5 linked regions of the Oryctolagus cuniculus genome follow. The protein of the gene in region 5 interacts with the protein of the main gene of each other region in a biochemical or structural test. Links are inferred from orthologs where the notes say so. Each region holds a gene or a part of one and is shown on either strand. Other genes may lie near its edges.

Region 1 (3,906 bases), on a different chromosome or scaffold from region 5:
CCCGCCCGGGGAAAATCCCAGCCCCCTTCCCGGCGCCGCGGCCCTGCCCGGCAGCGCGGGGGGGAGGGGATTCCCGGAATCTGCCCGGAGACCGCCGTCGCGTCACTGGGCCGAATCGGCCCATATATGGGCAGCGCTTCCGCTGCGTCAGCGGGGAAAGCCCCGGCGCGCGCGCGGCGGGGCGGTGCCGCGCCTGCGCACTGCGGCGCGCCGCTCGGGGCAGCCTGCCCCTCCCGGCTGCAGGGCCGGCTGGGCAGTGTCTCGTGCGCGCGCTGCGCTGGGATGGAAACCGTCCAGCCTCGGAGACTCTGGGGATGAGGCCGCGAGACCGGGGTGCACGGGCTGGAGGGGTCGATGGATGCCAGAGGGGACGCATAGAGGAACCAGCAGAAGCACTAGCGGGGTGCGGTGGGGTGGGGGTGGGGGGAGAAGCACCGGGCTGCTCCTCTTCCCTCCTCCCACCCGGCTTGGAAAAACAAAACAAAACAAAACAAAAAGGACAACAGAGATTAATAAAGAACCATTTTTTTTACTTAAATAGATTCAATAAAAAGTCAGAACAAACGCGCGCACGCACACACACATACACACACACAAAAACATCTTAAAATAAACTTTTTTTTTCTTAAGAGACCAAGTGCGTGTTTCTTCTCCACAGTACGGTGCAGAGCGGGGGAGGGTAGGGGGCGGGGGTCCCCTCTCCCAGTGTCCCCGCGCGGGTTTTGAGTACCGGGGCGGCGGGGCCAGCTCCGCCGCCATCGCCCCCTCCTCCTCCCCTCCCCTCCCTGTTAAATATACACAAATATATTATATTCAATATGAATCGAGTCTGTTTCCTGCAGAAAAAAAATAGACATACAAAAAAAAAAAAAAAAAACGTGGAAAGAAAAGCTTGTAAACGTTCAACGTGGAGGGACCGGGCGCAGAGCGGAGTCCAGTGTGGCTGGCGGCGTCCCGGGCGCGCGCCCACCGCCCACGCCCCCAGCAGTCCAGGTCGGTGCTCAGAAGGCGTGTCCCTTGACCCCGAGCAGGAGCTGGCAGCCGTTGCTGACGTGGGTCATGACCTTCTGCTTGAGCTGGGCTACCTGCTCGCGGAGGAGCCCGGCGGTGCTGGACAAGCCCGCGTTCTCCGCCTTGAGGGTCTTCACCTTGTCCTCCAGACGCGCGATGCGCTCCAGTTTCCGCTTCCGGCACTTGGTGGCCGCCAGCCGGTTCCGCAGCCGCTTGCGCTCCACTTTGATGCGCTCCTGGTCTTCCATGTTAATGGGGGACACGGGCGGCGTGGCGTCTCGGCTGCGCGCCTCGGGCACGGTCTGCGGTTCCTCCTTGAAGGCCGAGGCGCCGCGGCCCAAGCCCAGCTGCGCGGGGTGGCCGCCCGCGAAGGGCGGCGCGTGCGGGAGGTAGCTGATGGTGGCCGTCGGGTACGAGCTCCCGGTGCCCACGGCGGCGGCGGCGGCGGCGGCGGCTCCGGCGCCTCCGGAGGTCGCAGAGGCCGGGGAGTAGCTGCTGAGGTTGGTGTAGACGGGGGGCGGCTCGGGGCCCGCGTAGACGCCCCCGGGCCCGGCCGGGGGTCCCCCGCTGGCGCCCAGGGACACGTTGGGGGGCGTCACGTGGTTCATCTTGTGCAGGTCGTCCAGCGCTTTGACGAAGCCGTCGGCGAAGCCCTCCTGCTCCTCCGTGACGCCGCCCCCTGCGCCCCCGGCGGCACCTCCGGCGCTGCCACCCCCGCGGGGGTAGAAGTACTGTCCCGGGGGCGTGGGCGTCGTCGTAATCACGCCGTTGCTGTTGGGGACGATCAGGCGCTCCAGCTCCGAGGAGGCGATCTTGAGTGACGCGCCTGTGTCTGAGCCCTGGCCGGGGAAGTAGCTGCCGGCTCCGCTGCCCTCGGGGCCGGGGCCCCGCGCCCCGGGCGCTTTGAGACTGCGGTAGGGGTCTGTCAGGTTGAGCGCCAGGCTGGGTTTCAGGAGTTTGTAGTCGTGTAGAGAGAGGCCGCCGGGGGCCCGGCCGTATCCCGCCGCTGCGTACGAGTCGTCGTGGTAGAAGGGCTGTTCCATTTTAGTGCACATCCGGGCGGCCCAGGCGGTCTCCGCGGAGGGGAAGGGCGGCGGCGGGGGAGGGGGCGTCCCGGCGGGACCGCCCCGGGCCTCGCTGCGGCCGAGCGACGCGGTGGCCGGGTGGCGCGCGGTTGTCTGTCCGGTCGCGCGTTCCTGGCGGGGAGCTGGCAACGGGCCGGTGGCGGGCGGGGAGGCGACCCCCGCGGGCAGCTGCGCGCCTCCAGCCGCGTCCGGCTTCCCGAGCGCGCTCCTCGCCCTCTTCTGCTGGCCGCCTTCGCTTTTCTCTCGGTGTCGCTGCCTTTCCCCGCACGCCCCCCCCAACACACCACCCCGCGCCGGCCCGGCTCTGGCTCTCCCGCTTTGCCAACCGGCTCCCCCCCCCTGCCCAGTGTCTCTTCGCCGACTGCTCCGAGGCTGCTGGCCTGGCCGCCCTCAAGGTCCCAGGCGCTCAGCCCGAGCCGCACGCATTTTATACGGCGCTATTCAGCTGCGGAAGTGCGCGCCGATTGGCCGGCGCCGGAGCCGGGCCCCCGCGCCCCCTCCCTCCCCGGAGCGTGGGGAAGGGGAGGAGGCGGCTGGCGTCACTGTCAGGAAGCGCGCGTGTCCTTGTAAACAGCGGCCACGGGGCCTGGCGGCTCGGCGCGGCTGCAGGGGGAGGGGCCCCAGGGACCCCCTTCCCCCAACCTGGGTACGCCTGGAAGGGAGCTTGTGGTCTTGGGGAGAGGGGGAACGCACCTAGACTTGTAACCGGGGCTGGGGGTGGGGGTGGGGGTGGGTGGAAGAAGACCCTGCGGGAGAGTGACGATTCCCCGGGGTGGATATGCAGACCTGCTGCTGAGCAAAGGGGGTAGGGGGTGGGGGTCCTCAGGATGCAAATGGAAAGGTGGGAGGACCCCACACCACACTGGGAGACCCCCCTCTCCTCCAAGAGTGGGGAAGGGGAGGGTTCAGCCGAGTTATTGGGCAGGGTCGGAGCAAGTGTGTGTGTGTGTGTGTGTGTGTGTGTGCGCGCGCGCGCGCACGCGCGTACAAAGAGACCCCTGACTCAGGAATTGACTGAGGGGTGTCTTGGGCCCAGAGAGGTTGAGATACTGGGATGTTTTTTCGGGGGGGGGGCTGAGGAACAGGAGAAGAGTTCACAAGGGGTCAAGGGGCGGGACTGCATGGACCTATTATGCAAGAAATGAGTAGGGGGTCTCAGAAACGGAGGGCTTCCGCCCCCACCACTACTACCCGGGTTAAGTGGGAATGAGAAGGAATTGGGGACGAATCTATGATATGCAGCAAGTGAACAAAGATCCTGGGGTACCCGGACTCTGGGTGCAAGACGTGGCGTAGGAGATGGCGACATTTTTAGCAGAGGTTTGAGGATCACTGAAGTCACCCGCGAAATCCTGATGGAGTTGGAAGGGTCGGCGCGCCCGATGGGAGCTGAAGGGACAATGACAGGAGGGTACCCGGCTGAGACGCGCCAGGAGGAGGGGGCTTTGTGCATCCCGGGGAGGGGTCTTTCCCCTGGTGGGTGACCCCCCAGCAGGCACCTGTATACTCCGTCGCCCGTCCGAGAACCCCTCCCCTAGTCACACTGGGCTTGCCAGCTTCTGGAGTCTGGACCCAGCCCGACGGCCCCGGGCGCGGTCGCCCAACCCCACTCCCTTCCTTAGAAGCAGGCTGGGGAAAGAACGCCTAGGCAGGAAGTGTGGCAACAGCCCCGGGGGATGGAGCCCGGCCCTGTCTCCGTCACTCCGCTCCTACGGGACCGTGCGCCCCGCCCTGGGTCCCGGCCTTCTGCGCCTTTGCGAGAGGAACCTGGACGTGCGCGACCTCCACAGAGGCCTGGGTGCGCAGCGCC
Region 2 (4,025 bases), on a different chromosome or scaffold from region 5:
CAGGCCGCCAGACGCGGGACTTCAGCCCGGGGCGCGCAGAGCCCAGGCCGCCAGACGCGGGACTTCAACCCGGGGCGCGCAGAGCCCAGGCCGCCTGACGCGGGGCGCGCAGAGCCCAGGCCGCCTGACGCGGGACTTCAGCCCGGGGCGCGCAGAGCCCAGGCCGCCTGACGCGGGACTTCAGCCCGGGGCGCGCAGCCCGCTGGGTGACGGGGAGGGATCGGCTCCAGGGCGGCCGTGGTGCAGGTCAGGATGAGAGGCTCGGGGCCGACTCTAAGCCGTCCCTAATGTAAGTGAAGTCCTGGGTTCACAACGTCTGGGTGTGTGGTCACACACAGGCCTCCAGGGGCTGACTGCGGGCCGCGCCCCGAAGGCTGCAGGTACCAGATTTAGATTAAAAAAGGAGAGAACTGAAAACCTAAGAGATGCGCACCTATCAAGGCAGGGCTCAGGACGCCACCGCCGGCCGCGCCAGCGTCCCTGTCCTGGCGGCTCCACCTCCAGCCCGTGCCTGGGAAAGCACAGAGGACGGGGCGACGGATAAAGCCTTCAGCCTAGCCCAGCCCTGGGGGCAGGGAACGGGGGCTGGAAGGCCTCCCTCTCGGTCTCCAAGTCTTTCAAATAATCTTTTGAAAAAATTTTTAAAAATGGTTGATGAAAAAACTTCTTGCATAAAAGGCACTTTCAGACAAAGATCTCCCATCAGCTGGTTCATCCCCCAGCGGCCGGCCGAAGCCAGGAGCCCCAGCCGGGTCCCGGGCGCACCGGCAGGGGCTGGCTCCGCGACCCCCGCGACCCCGCGGGCTGGGCTGGACGCGCCTCGACGCCCGCCCCTCCCGGGCACGGAGTCCCTGCTTTTAACAGACGCGTCTCGACCCCGTTTCCGACAGTTTTGAACGAGATCAGAGAAACAAAAAGCGGATACTTGGAAACCCACTAGGTGGCCTCGACACGTGCCCACGGCCGACAAGAGCCGCGCCGGGGTCGGCCCGGGGTGCGGGCCGCAGGCCGCTTCCCGGGCGAGCGGAGGGCGCGGTCACCCGGGAGCCCCCGACCCGCTACGGCCTGGAAGCCGCCGTCCGCGCGCACCGCCCGGCGCGGCCGCAAACCGCCCTTCCGGCTCCGGTGCGCTTCCGGCGCGGAGCCCGCTTCCGCTGACGTCACGGCGCTGCGACCCCCGGCGGCGCGGCGGGGGCGGGACTTCCGGCGGCTGAGTGACGGGCGCGGCAGCGGCAGCGGCGGCAGCGGCGGCAGCGGCAGCGGCAGCAGAGTCGCCTCAGCCTCCCCCTCAGCGGCGGCGGCGCCCGAGGCGACGCCGCGGCCTGCGCACCCCCGGGCAGCCAGGGCGGGCCGGGCGCGCCGGCCGGACAGCGGGCCGCGCTGGCGGCGGCGGTGGCCGCGATGATGGAGATCCCGATGGACGAGGGCGGCGGCGTGGTGGTCTACCAGGACGACTACTGCTCGGGCTCGGTGATGTCGGAGCGCGTGTCGGGCCTGGCGGGCTCCATCTACCGCGAGTTCGAGCGCCTCATCCACTGCTACGACGAGGAGGTGGTCAAGGAGCTGATGCCGCTGGTGGTGAACGTGCTGGAGAACCTGGACTCGGTGCTCAGCGAGAACCAGGAGCACGAGGTGGAGCTGGAGCTGCTGCGCGAGGACAACGAGCAGCTGCTCACGCAGTACGAGCGCGAGAAGGCGCTGCGCAAGCAGGCCGAGGAGGTGCGCGCGGCCGGGCCGGGCCGGGGCCGGGGCGGGGAGGTGCGCGCGGCCGGGCCGGGGCCGGGGCCGGGGCGGGGAGGTGCGCGCGGCCGGGCCGGGGCCGGGCCGGGGCCGGGGAGGTGCGCGCGGCCGGGCCGGGGCCGGGGCCGGGGCCGGGGAGGTGCGCGCGGCCGGGGCCGGGGCCGGGGCCGGGGAGGTGCGCGCGGCCGGGCCGGGCCGGGGCCGGGGCGGGGAGGTGCGCGCGGCCGGGCCGGGGCCGGGGCCGGGGCCGGGGAGGTGCGCGCGGCCGGGGCCGGGGCCGGGGCCGGGGAGGTGCGCGCGGCCGGGCCGGGCCGGGGCCGGGGCGGGGAGGTGCGCGCGGCCGGGCCGGGCCGGGGCCGGGGCGGGGAGGTGCGCGCGGCCGGGCCGGGGCGGGGGCCGGGGCCGGGGCCGGGGGCGAGGAGGTGCGCGCGGCTGGGCCGGGGCGGGGGCCGGGGCCGGGGCCGGGGCCGGGGCGGGGGCGGGGGCGGGGGCGCGGGGCCGGGGCCGGGGCCGGGGCGAGGGCGCGCGGCCGGGGCCGGGGCGGCCCTAGCCCGGGAGTCGCCGGTCCGGGGCCGCGGGGAGCATCGCTTAGCCTGACCCCCTCGCCAGGGATGCCGAGCGCGACGGGTGCGGGGCCGGGGTCGGCGGCGGCCGTCCCAGGGCCGAGCGAAGGGGGTGCGGGGCCGGGGTCGCCGGCTCCGGCCCCCGAGGACCCAGAGCAGCCTGTGGGGACGGGGGAGGGGGAGGGGGGCGGCGGCGTTGGATGCGTCCCTAACCGGGAGTCGCTGGTCCGGGGGCGCCAGGGATGCCGAGCGCGGCGGCGGCCGGACCCAGCGCAGGGGGTGCGGGGGCCGTGGGCTCCCTCCCCGTGACCTTGGCCCTGGTCACCTGCCCGTCGGGCGGAGGAGCGAGTTGTCCGGGTGGGTCTGAGCCCAGAGACTGCGGGGAGGAGGTCCCGCGGTTCTCTTGGGCTTGTGGATGGGGGGGGGGGGGCAGAGGAGTTCGGGTTCCTTCCTGGTTAACTGGGCCTAGCGTTCTTGGCTTCGGTGCTCAGCCGTGAGGCGGTGCCAGTGTCTTGGCTTTTTTTTTCTTTTTCTCTAAGCCGCAGCGGTTTATGGCCTGGTTCGCGTCACGCGTGTTTGTGAAAGGCGCCGGTGTCCTGTCTGGCGTCATCCCTGCCGGCTCTGGTTGGCTTTGCTTCCCGGGTTCCCGTCTGGTTGCCGCCACCAAAGCTGGTGTGACGTTCTCCACGTCAGGGTTGCCAGAGCTGGAGTGTGAGAGCTTACGGAGATCTGGGGTGCTTCGCAGGGGAGCAGCTGGCCCCAAGAAGTGGGGGGCTGCCCAAGGTCACATGCACAGCCCTGGGCACCAGGCCAGGACGCACCTTCCCGCGCTGCAGGGGGTCAGAGGGCAGCTCCGGGCTGGGATGGAGCCGCCAGGATGGACGCGTCCACCCTCCCGCCAGTGCTCTGGGGACTGAGAGCCGCTGGGTGTGCGTGTGGTGTGCAGGCCGGCTCACCCGCCGCTGCCCCAGCTGTTGGAGAAGCTGCGGAGGGCTGTGGGAAAGGGTGGGTGGCCGGCCAGCCGTGATGGCACCAGGAGGCCCTGGTGAGGACGGGGCTGATGCCGTACACGCAGCATCCCGGCTCCCTTGTCACCGCAAGCAGGGGTCTGCGGGAAAGGCCTCTGATCACGGAGGTGTGTGATAACACAAGGGCTGGAGGTCACCGGTGCAGGCGTGGTGTGGTGCAGAGTTGGCTGAGCTGTCGGCCGAGGCCCGGCCCAGCCGCCGGCCAAGAAGGCTTAGTCAGAGTCGGGAACCTGAGCCGACAGAGCGGCAGGGGTCTCCCGAAGGCCTTGACCCAAGAGAGCAGCCGTCCCCTGCCTCACAGCCAGCACCCTGGGAGGTTCTGGGCGCGTCCTGGCGGCTGGAGCCCTGGGGTGACAGTGGCTGGAGATGGTGGGGTCCCGGGAGAGGCCCCTGCACCCAGCCTCGTCTCCTCTCTGGGCCGCCGCGGCTGCTTGGGGAAGCGGGTGGGTTCCGGATGTGGCACGTGGAGGACTGTGCTGAGACGGTGTGGCAGTCAGGGCAGAGCCCCTGGGGGCTCACGGCGAGCCCGGGCATCGCCAGCCCCCGCGGGGCAGAGCAGGTCCTGTGGCCCAGTGTGAGTGCCTCAAGCTCCTTCCCTTGGAGGAGGGGGAGCTCGGGCCGGTGAGCGGGCCTGCTTTGCTGCATCACCCGGCGGCCGGCCAGGAGCCCAGAGCCCTTTCCCGGGAGTGGCACG
Region 3 (3,514 bases), on a different chromosome or scaffold from region 5:
CTGGGCCTGCCATCCCTGCACCCTTGGGTGTGCCTGGCTTTCCACAGGCGGTGTCCCCAGGGGTGGCATGTACAGCAGCAGGGGCCACATTTGCCACGGCAGAGGCAACAGACACCTCAGGCTGGGACGGGCAGTCTTCGGTGGAGCACCCTGCGACCTCGGGATAGGACACGAACTTGTAGACAAACTTCTGGCCGCTCACCTTGCGGATGATATTCTGGGAAGAGACAAGACAGAACAGAGGGCCTTAAAGGTCAAGGGCGGGGGGAGGGACGGTGTGGCCGGGAGAAGAGAGGCTGGAGGGGCTGTCTTCCTCCTAGCACCTTTCTTCCTACCTGCCCCTATTTCACCCATCTCAATCGCCTGTCAGTATCTGCATCCCTTCCTTCCCCCTCCCCGGATCCGTCTCTGTATTCCTCCTGTTTCTCCCTTCGACAATGCTTTCTTTAATCTCCTCCCCATCCATCTCCCTCCCTCTTCATCTCCATCTGTCTGGTTTCCCAAGCTGTGCCAGCTCCTGTTCACAATGGAACCCCTCTAGGGGAGTATAGGTGCAGGGGTGTCTGCAGGTTAACAAGTTCAGGCCTATGGGGTGGCTGCTAGGACACAGACTTGGAGACTAGCTAATGCAATATAACAGCAAAATGAAGTGAGTGCTGTAAATGTTGGAAGAGATGAAATTAATGCAGATGAGTGGGATGACAAATTACCAATATAGATTATTTAATGCTATTAACATAGAAGTGGAACAGGCCGAGGTCCATTACAGAGGACAGGGTAAGGAGGCCTCATTAATACTACCTGTGGGGGCAGGGGTTCAGTGGAGCAGCTTAGAAACTGGTTGGGATGCCCACATCCCATATAGCGGTACCCTGGTTCAAGTCCCAGCTCTGTTCCCAATTCTAGTTTCTTGCTAATGTGCAACCTGGGAGGCAGTGGATGATGGCTCAAGTAGTTGGCTTTCTACCACTCATGTGGAAGACAAGGACTGAATTCCTAGCTCTCAGCTTCAGTCTGGCCTGGTCCCAGCTGTTGTAGGCATTTGGAGAGTGAACCAGTGGATAGGAGCCCTCTCACTCACTCGCTCGCTCTCTGCCTCTCAAATAAGTAAAAAAACAAAAACAAAACCAAAAAGACTGTTGTGGAGTTGTGGAGGTTTAAACCAAAAGGGCAACAAAATGAAGTAACTGACAATTAGGAAAGAACAATAAAATACTGGTATAAATATTGGGGGAGGGGCAAGTATGTTTGAGGTATTTCAGGACAGGTCCGGTCTGGAGAGTTTCAGGGACGTTCTGGGGTCTCTTAGGCTACAGTGAGGTAGCCCCACTGTTTTGGAGATCTGGGTTAAAGGAATAAACTAGGAAAGTGGGATAAATGCTTCCAGTGACTAAAGGGTGTGACACAGGTCTGTGGCTGTTCCGGGAGCAAGAGGAGTCTGGGGGTACTAGGCAGTCTTTTTCTGATTAAAGATTTATTTATTTATGTGAAAGGCAGAATTAGGGAGAAGAGAGAGAGACAGACAGACGCGTTCCATCTATTGGTTCACTCCCACAAATAGCTGCAAAAGCAGGACTGGGCTAGGCCAAAGCCAAGAGCCTGGAATTCCGATGTGGTGCCACGTGGCTGGCAGGGGCCCAGGTGCTTGGGCCATCTTCCGCTGCTTTCCTGGGTGCATTAGCAGGGAGCTGGTTTGGAAGTGGAGCAGCGCCCATATGAGATGCCAGCATCGCAGGCAGTGGCTCAGTTTGCTGTGCCACAACGTGGGCCCCCTGGTGAGGTCTTTGTGCTGATCAGGCATGTCACGGGGTGGGCTTGTGTTTCTCAGAAGAGGAATGAAAAAGAGTATTAGTTTACACTGTTTCAAAGGCTTCTTCTAAATAAGAAAATGAGATGCATGTTATAAATATTAAGGAGAGAAGAAAAGTAGTGCAGCTCAGAGGGTCTGATAGGATGCAGAAAATTTAAAATTCCAGCTATGACAATAAGATGATGAAATAAAACAGTTGATACGGATATTGGAGCAGACCAGTGTTGCTTTGGGAATCCAAAAGGATGGTGTGTGGCGCTGACTTTACATATGCTGCTTCAGAGACTTCAGTGAAAGAAAATAAAAAGTATGAGGGTCCCAGAGAACAAAGTAAGAAAGGTTAGCATAATATTTTCAGGGAGGTTTTGATTCCAGGAATTAGAATAGAAAATATTTTAGAGTAAGAGAAGATTATAAAGCTTTTAACCAAAGCAGTAAAACAAGAAAATAAAATGAGATTAAGTTAGTCTGAAGGTCCCAGAGAAAGGGTTAAGAAATAATACATTTTAATATGATGTTCAGTTATACCATAAGTTAGACAAGAGAATGACACTTGTGACCTCAATGTCAGAGGCCTTACCTTGTCATAGTAGTACCGCAAGGCCCGGCTGAGCTTGTCATAATTCATGTTGGTCTTGTTCTTGCGCAGCCCCCACAGCCGGGCTACCTCCTCTGCATCCACCAGCTTGAACTCACCACCATCCCGTGAGGTCCAGGAGATGATGTGGCCATTGCCTTGCTCTCTCAGCAGCTGCAGCAGAAACTGCCACAGCGTCACAGATGGGTCCATCGCTGGGGCAACACTCACGCCATCCCAGGGATACCTGGAGGGCAGAGAGCTCAGAGCTGAGAAGCTGGGGACACAGGAGGAGGCAGAGATGAAAAGGAGGATTCCTTTCTTGTCATCTTGTCCCTACCGCTGTCTCCAAACGCCACTATCTTTCCCCTAAGCACCATCAGATTAACTTTTAAACATCTCCGTCTAGTTTTGGTTGTCTCCTGTAATGGGCCAAGATTTATGGTGGCTCTTAGGATGGTGTGAATGTTTTGCACGTAGCAGAACGTGGTAGGCAGAAAAATGCTACCTCCGATTCAAAGAAGTCCACATCCTAATTCCAGAACCTGTGACTGTTATGCTATATAGCAAAGAGGAACTGTGCAGATGGAATAAGATTACAGACTCTAAGATTATTCTGTTGTTTTTTTTTAAAGTGAGCTTTTAAATACAGAAGAGGGGGGGCTGGCACTATGGCACAGAGGGTAAAGCTGCTGCCTGCAGTGCTGGCATCTCATAAAGGCACTGGTTCAAGTCCTGGCTGCTCTTCTTCTGATCCAGCTCTCTGCTACGGCCTGAGATAGCAGTAGAAGATGGCCCAAGTGTTTGGGCCCCTGCACCCGCATGGGAGACGTGGAAGAATCTCCTGGCTCCTGGCTTTGGATAGGCTCAGCTCTGGCCATTGTGGCTGTTTGGGGAGTGAACCAGCGGATGGAAGCCTCTGCCTCTCTCTCTCTCTCTCTCTCTCTCTCTGCCTCTCTGTAACTCTGCCTTTCAAATAAATCAATCAATCTTAAAGTCAGAAAGGGCCCTCAGCGGGCAGCCACTAAGGAAATAAGGATCTTGGTCCTGCAACCTCAAAGAGTTGAATTCTGCCAACAACCCCAATAAGCTGGAGACGGATTCTCCCCCTAGAGCCTTCACAAAGG
Region 4 (3,514 bases), on a different chromosome or scaffold from region 5:
CACTCCAGTAATTATTTTGTATTCAAGGTATCAGTATTACTTGGCCTTTTGTTATTGAAGTTTTTGATATAGGAAAGATGGCCTAAGATTAGTTAATAGTTTAACATTTCCATTGTTGAATTTGTATTAATCATAGCGAAATTTCTCTGGACCTGTTTTCTTTTTGTACAGTAAAATGAGGAAGTAGACTTAGGTGTTCCCTTATAGATTTTAAAGTTTTCTAATTCTTGAGAGTGGATCGTGTTTTTACTTTTTTACTAAAATTCTCTTGGAATTATAGCCAAATTGTCCAACCTGACTTACTTCTGAATTGACATGAAAATAAGTTTTACTGAAAAAAACGCTGAGGTTTTTAAAAATTAATTGAACATTGCCTGTGAACCTTTACAACTACTTCTAAAATTTCTTTTTAGTTCACTTGAGATACTAATTTGAGAGGTTAAGCATTACCCTATGAATGTGTTTGCAAGTGTGTTATGTTCTGTTCACTAAGGTACATGCATTAATTGCATTTTAAATTCTACGCTTTTTGTTATGTCTTTATTAAATAGGAGGTACCATTGGCACAAACTGCACAGCCCACATCAGCTATTGTTCGTCCAGCATCATTACAGGTTCCCAATGTGCTGCTTACAAGTTCTGATTCAAGTGTAATTATTCAGCAGGCAGTACCTTCACCAACCTCAAGTACTGTAATCACCCAGGCACCATCCTCCAATAGGCCAATTGTGTAAGTGATTAAGCCCAGTCATTGAACTGTGTATGAATTAAGTTTTTCTTGTTACGATTTTTCCTAAGATAGCTGATTTAAGATGATTTTTTATATTTTCATGCTCTTTAAGGCAAAACATATAAAATTATTCTATTACCAGATGACACTTCTTTCAGTTCTTAAATGCAGCTAGTTCTCAGGGCCCACCAGCATTGTGATATAGCAGGTTAAACTGCCACTTAGGATGCCAGCATCCCGTATTACAGTTTGAGTCCCAAATACTCCACTTCCCATCCAGCTTTGTTGCCTAGGAAGGCAACAAAAGATGGCCCAAGTGCTTGGGCCCCTGCCACCCATGTGGGAGTATCTGGATGGCATTCCTGACTCCGGCTTTGGCCTAGCCCAGCCCTGGCTGCTGTGGCCATTTGGAGAGTTAGCCGATGGATAATGGTCTGGGGACTGGCATTGTACCCTCGCAGATAAAGCTGCTGCCTGTAGCACCAGCATCCCATATAGGTGCCAGTTAAAGTTCTGGCTGCTTCACTTCCAGTCTAGCTCCCTGCTAATGGCCTGAGAAAGCAGTGGGAAGATGGCCCAAATCCTTGGACCCCTGCACCCATGTGAGAGACCTGGAGGAAGCTTCTGGCTCCTGGATTTGGTCTTGCCCAGCTATGGCTGTTGTGGCCATCTGGGTGGAGAGTAGGCCAGCAGATGGAAAATCTCTGTCTCTCCCTGACTCTCTGCGTAACTCTTTCAAATAAAATAAATCTTTAAAAAACATATTTAAAGATAATTTTATTTCTGAAGTTTACAGTGCTTAAGAAATTTATTAATATTGTAATAATAGAAGTAAAAATACTATTGTATTTTTAAGTGATGGTTTCTTTGAATCTGTTTAATTTCATTTCTTTTGTTCTTCATAGTCCTGTGCCAGGCCCATTTCCTCTTCTATTGCATCTTCCGAATGGACAAACCATGCCTGTTGCTATTCCTGCATCAATTACAAGTTCTAATGTACATGTTCCAGCTGCAGTCCCAGTAAGTTACAAATTTAGACTATAGTAGATCTGGTCTGTATAAAGTAATCAGAAAATAGAGTTGAAGCTGCTGGACTGACTTATGAAAACTGAATTTAAGAAAGTACATAATAGTGGTAAGTAGTGTTTATTCATTGATATTTATGGTAATAACATCTACCATTCAGTGCAAACATAATTAAATAAACTATTTTCCTCTCCCAACAATCTTGTTTTCCTTACTTTTTACACTATGAACTTTATTCCTTATTTACCCCATTTCTATTTGACTGAATTTGTAAAATTCAAATAGTACTAGAACACTTGTCAGGTAACTTTGGTATTTCAGTTAATTTAGAAATTCTTTATAAAAACACAATCTTTGATCTTTGATGGTCAAGTTCAGTTAACAGATTTACTTTGATGGCCCATGCATTCTTAAGAACATTCTGAACATTTGCGGTACAGACGTTTGCAGTGGTTAAGATGCCAGAATGAATGTATTCAGGCCCCACTCCATTTCTAATAGCTTTCTGTTAATGTTCACTCTGAGAGGCAGCAGATGATGGCTCAAGTACTTGGGTCCCTGTCACCCATGTGGAAGACCCAAATAGAGTACTTAGGCTCCTGGCTTTGGTCTGGCCCAGAGCTGGCTGTTGTGTGCATTTGGTGATGAACCATCAAGATGAAAGATCTGTTTCTGTTTTTCTGTCACTCTGCCTTTAAAATAAATAAAACAAATAAATTTTAGCATTCTAAAGTAATAAGTCTCCCATTTTCTTAATGAGAAGATCCAAAAGAAAAGTTTTGTAAGGGCAAGTCAAATATATATAAAATTTGAAAGACATAGACAATTAAATATCTAGTTATTGTATTTTTTTGTTTTTAGATTTTATTTTTTTATTTGAGAGGTAGAGTTACAGTGAGAAGGAGAGACAGAAAGGTCTTTCTTGTGCCAGTTCACTCCCTAAATGGCATCAATGGCCGGAGCTGCATCGATCCGAAGCCAGGAGCCAGGAGCTTCTTCTGAATCTCCCACATGGGTGCAAGGGCCCAAGGATTTGGACCATCTTCCACTGCTATCCCAGGCCATAGCAGAAAACTGGATTGAAAGAGGAACAGCCGGGACTAGAACCAGCACTCATATGGGATGCCTGTGCTGCAGGCAGAAGATTAACCTACTGTGCCACAGTGCCAACCCCTAGTTATAGTACTTAGTAGATTATAAAATATTTAAAAACACATTGTTTAGGACAGGCATTTGGCTTAGTAGTTAAGGTACCACTTGAGATGCCTACATACAGAATCAGAGTAACTAGGTTCAAGTCCCAGCTCTGCTGCCAATTCCAGCTTCCTGATGATGCACATTCTGGGAGGCAGCAGGTGATGGTTCAACTAGTTGGGTCCCTGCAACCCATATGGGAGCCCAGTGGAGTTCCTGGCTCCTGACTTTAGCCTGGCCCAATCTTGGTTATGGCAGGCATTTGAAGAGTGAACCAGAGGATGACAGATCTCTCTGTCTCCTTCCCTCTCTCTCTGACTTCTGCCTTTCAAATAAATAAATAAATAACATTGGTTAGAATAATAAAAATGAGAAATATGCCTTTTTTCCCAACTTTCACATGTGAATTCATGAAAACAGTTTTATTCAAACTTTTCAAAGGTGTCTTTCAGCATTTCAGATTTTCATCTGAGAACCGCTTTTTGACCCATCTAGCACAGTTTTCCAGAACACAGTTTACTTCTTCATCTAAATTATTTATGACATGACAGCTTTTAATCTTTG
Region 5 (3,514 bases):
TGGGAGGAGAAATAGTTGAAACCACAGAATACAGTCAGGTGCAGGCCAGACACCTGGTACATGAAAGCACTGTGGGGAGAGGGCTATAGATGCGGAAGTGTTGTCCTCCGTGTTCAGATCAACCTGAGAGGTTCTTAGGCCACAGTCCCAGCAACTGAAATTCAGAATGTCGTTGGATATAAAGAAAGCTGGAGTGAAGATTGCAGAGTCAGAATCCATGCTCGTTGTTCAGTAAAAAGACCTTTCCTGCCCTTCAGTGTCCTTCACTGAAATGTGATTGTTAAGGAAAACGGTCGATTTGTTTTCATCCGCATCGAGCTGCAGCCTTGCTTTGTCTGTACAAGTTGTGAACTTCATTCAGTTGCCAGAATCTAGCTGAGCCTGTGTTTTAGTTATTGAACTTGTTGGTTTTTCCCTAACTACTAATCTCTAAATTTAGGGGAAAAAAAATAAGTGAGTATTGCTAATATTGTATACAGCTAGGCCAAACAGAGGCATCTCTACAGTGTTTTATTTTGTGAGAGTATCAGACTCATGTGTGGTTTTAAAAGACCGTTCTAATTTCATTTTAATGTGACGGGAAAAAAATACTCATGCCCACACCCCTGGCAGTGCCGCCTGAGCTCTTACCCCGCGCCCCGCTCCCTGCCATGTGCTCTCAGCCGCGGGCCCCCTGCAGACACTGGCCCAAGGTGCCTCGGAGCCTCCTACTCCATCTTGGGACACAGATTTCTCCTCCCCTTCCTGGGTCAGAGGAATAAGAACACGTTGGAAAGCCTGGGTTTTTTGTTGTTTTTTGTGAAAGTGGCTGTTTGAGTTTTCCTTAAGGCTTTGGGCTCTGTTGATCTCTAACCTGTCACATCTCTTCAGCATTCATTTATCTTTGTTATGTGTGTGTAGTACACATTTACTTCTTCACTGGGTGTTTTCCTGAGTTCACCAGTCTTTGTTTTCACCCTAGCGAGTCAAGCCAGGGATCTGTTATCAAAAATGTTGGTGATCGACCCCGACAAGCGGATCTCTGTGGACGAGGCTCTGCGCCACCCGTACATCACTGTCTGGTACGATCCTGCCGAGGCAGAGGCGGTGAGTGCTGATGCTGAGAAGGCAGATGCAGGGCTTCCCCCTGGTTGGCCCAGAATGGCCACGCAGGAGCAAACAGGTGCTGGGTTTAAGGCTCCTGACTGCACAAGGGCCAAGCGTTGTTTGAGACCTGGTCAGGAGCAGTTTGGGGCAGTTGCTGCTGGGGCTGCAGCTTAGAGCATGAACAAGCTTACGTGGAGACAACTGTCTTCACTTACACAAATGCCAACACGCGGCACTTGACACCGAGCGTGTGTCCTAAGAAGCCTGTCGTTGGGCAGTGCGCTGTTGCGTGGGCACTAACAAAACCACGGTGTCACCAGGCAACATATTCTATGGGAGCACCGTTGCAGGCGTCGTCGGGTGTTGGCCAAATCTGTCCCTTGTTCTGTGTCCCTTCGGTGCCTGGCCTCAGATTAAGTCCTCTTCCTCAGGCTCCTCCTCAGAGAGGCTGAGTAGTTTGCTGGAGAGCACACTGACCCAGCCCAAGGGCATCCGTGCCTCCCATGGCCACGCTGGGCTGAATGACCTCGAGCTGCCGGTGAACGATGCCCTAGCAGCGTTCTCAGTCCGTGCTGGCAGGTCTGCAGTGTTGGCTTGTGGATTCCAGCACCAACTTCAACATTGTTGGTGTGAAAAGCATCTGACTTAGAAGCAGGTGTTTGCAATAGCGCATCTGTGAGTTAGGTATTGGGATTGGGAGTTCTACCATGAGGAAACAAAATGTATTCCAAGAAAGTACCACCCCTTCCATAGCTCCCAACACAAGGCCTTGTCTGGGGAGCTCCAGGGAGCAGCCTGTGATTATCATTTTATAACTGTGTCTGAGAAGATGTCATTAGAATATCCTGAGGTCCTGCGATTATTAAGAGGATTATTATTAATAGCTCAATTTCTGGTTAATTCTTCCTTAACCATTTTGATTCTGAAACTGATGTAAAATTATATACTGATATATATATATTGAAATATATTCAAATATATATTGAAATTGATATAAAATCTTTAATGAACCATTTGTTAATGAAAAGAAATTCATATCACTCTGCCAAATGTCTCACCTTTTTTTGAAGTTGACTTTACATGTAATCTGGTTTTTAGCCACCACCTCAGATTTACGATGCCCAATTGGAAGAAAGAGAACATGCAATTGAGGAGTGGAAAGGTAAATCCTGACTTGCCGTGCCCCCGGGGTCGGGGGAGGGGGCTTTCCCTTTGCTAGCAGCCCTTTGGGAAGGACCAGAGACCCCAGCCCACTCACCTCTTTCTAACCGAGGGAGAGAGGAACATGTGTGGCCTTGTACTGCTTGTTTCAAGGATGAAGGATGAGGGCTTCTTCACCTGACTTTAAATTCCCAGATGTTGCTTTGTAAACTGAACCCCATTGATGGTCTCACTGATGATGTGTCAGGTTGTAAGGCAGCCCCGGTTCACATAAGCAGACATGGGAACTCTGCTGGTGTGTTTAAGCCATACAGTTGCACATAACAGTACAAAATCTAGTTGCAGATCAAAAATATGCAAGTAGATATTATTATCACCTGAGATTAACCAGGCACCCCACCACCACCACAACCTAGACAGCAGTGTGGAGGCTGACTGACAAGTTCTCATTCAAAAGCAGGGTCCCTGGTTACTGAGAGCCCAGAGCCGGGGCCAGTGGGGGTCAACCCTGCTGGTGTGACACGGGGAGCCGGTTCCCTGTGCAGGCACCCTCGGCCTGCCGTTCCCATAGCCATACTCACAGGCCTCAGGAAATGCTACAGTGTGCCAATGTCAGTTCACATTACTGCCATTTTAGAAACCCCTAATAACTTACTTGGTAGGCAGTTAGTTCTTACGAGTGAAAGTTGAAAACTAAAGCTGAAGCCAAGAAAAGACTGAGGTGTACAGATTGATTTCTGGCCAAGCTACAGGGGCCATAGCCCACACGGGCCAGTGTCACTCGCAGAACCACTGTGACAGTGGAAAGAAGTCTGTGCATGCCACTGGGTAGAACATCCAGTCCTTTAAAACGTCGGTGAAAGCCACTCTTCTCTCCCTTTCTCCCCTGACTCCTTCCCCACCCCCTGTTGAACTCAGAATGGCCCTGTGTTTCTAGCTACCTTAATGGTTGTGTGGAGGAGTTGCGAGTGGATGTTTTGGCCTAGGCAGATTCTGTCACTGAATTGCCTGAGTGTCGCAGTTTAAAGCGCTCACCACGGAGCCCAGAGCCGGGGGGGGGGGGGGGGGGGGGGGCGGTGATTTGAAGCAGAGCTCAGCCAGCAGAGACACTGAGGCATTTCACCTGCATCTCTGTTTGAAGAGCTAATTTACAAAGAAGTAATGGACTGGGAAGAAAGAAGCAAGAATGGTGTTGTGAAAGATCAGCCTTCAGGTTAGTGATTGCTCTGACCGCTCGCAGGCCGGCGCGCTGTCTCCTTTGCCTCTG

The links.
Region 1: the proteins of MAPK9 (region 5) and JUNB form a complex in vitro, tested with the Homo sapiens proteins (2 studies listed by BioGRID). The link is inferred for Oryctolagus cuniculus from reciprocal best matches to the Homo sapiens genes MAPK9 and JUNB.
Region 2: the proteins of MAPK9 (region 5) and MAPK8IP3 form a complex in vitro, tested with the Homo sapiens proteins (2 studies listed by BioGRID). The link is inferred for Oryctolagus cuniculus from reciprocal best matches to the Homo sapiens genes MAPK9 and MAPK8IP3.
Region 3: of the proteins of MAPK9 (region 5) and ELK1, one has a biochemical effect on the other in vitro, tested with the Homo sapiens proteins (2 studies listed by BioGRID). The link is inferred for Oryctolagus cuniculus from reciprocal best matches to the Homo sapiens genes MAPK9 and ELK1.
Region 4: of the proteins of MAPK9 (region 5) and ATF2, one has a biochemical effect on the other in vitro, tested with the Homo sapiens proteins (4 studies listed by BioGRID and IntAct, with this or other methods). The link is inferred for Oryctolagus cuniculus from reciprocal best matches to the Homo sapiens genes MAPK9 and ATF2.

What each region holds. Positions count from the first base shown.
Region 1 is NC_091447.1:62,308,226-62,312,131, reverse strand, and holds JUNB (transcription factor JunB), read right to left. Parts: upstream 2,509-3,906; 5' UTR 2,067-2,508; coding exon 1,002-2,066; 3' UTR 510-1,001; downstream 1-509. UniProt on the Homo sapiens protein: Transcription factor involved in regulating gene activity following the primary growth factor response. Binds to the DNA sequence 5'-TGA[GC]TCA-3'.
Region 2 is NC_091450.1:33,432,117-33,436,141, reverse strand, and holds the start of MAPK8IP3 (C-Jun-amino-terminal kinase-interacting protein 3), read left to right. Parts: upstream 1-1,224; 5' UTR 1,225-1,401; coding exon 1,402-1,719; intron 1,720-4,025.
Region 3 is NC_091453.1:33,148,413-33,151,926, forward strand, and holds part of ELK1 (ETS domain-containing protein Elk-1), read right to left. Parts: intron 2,665-3,514; exon of another isoform or gene 2,635-2,664; 5' UTR 2,601-2,634; coding exon 2,391-2,600; intron 218-2,390; coding exon 1-217. UniProt on the Homo sapiens protein: Transcription factor that binds to purine-rich DNA sequences. Forms a ternary complex with SRF and the ETS and SRF motifs of the serum response element (SRE) on the promoter region of immediate early genes such as FOS and IER2.
Region 4 is NC_091434.1:66,033,593-66,037,106, forward strand, and holds part of ATF2 (cyclic AMP-dependent transcription factor ATF-2), read left to right. Parts: intron 1-551; coding exon 552-730; intron 731-1,635; coding exon 1,636-1,750; intron 1,751-3,514. UniProt on the Homo sapiens protein: Transcriptional activator which regulates the transcription of various genes, including those involved in anti-apoptosis, cell growth, and DNA damage response.
Region 5 is NC_091437.1:67,263,361-67,266,874, forward strand, and holds part of MAPK9 (mitogen-activated protein kinase 9), read left to right. Parts: intron 1-961; coding exon 962-1,086; intron 1,087-2,184; coding exon 2,185-2,248; intron 2,249-3,388; coding exon 3,389-3,460; intron 3,461-3,514. UniProt on the Homo sapiens protein: Serine/threonine-protein kinase involved in various processes such as cell proliferation, differentiation, migration, transformation and programmed cell death.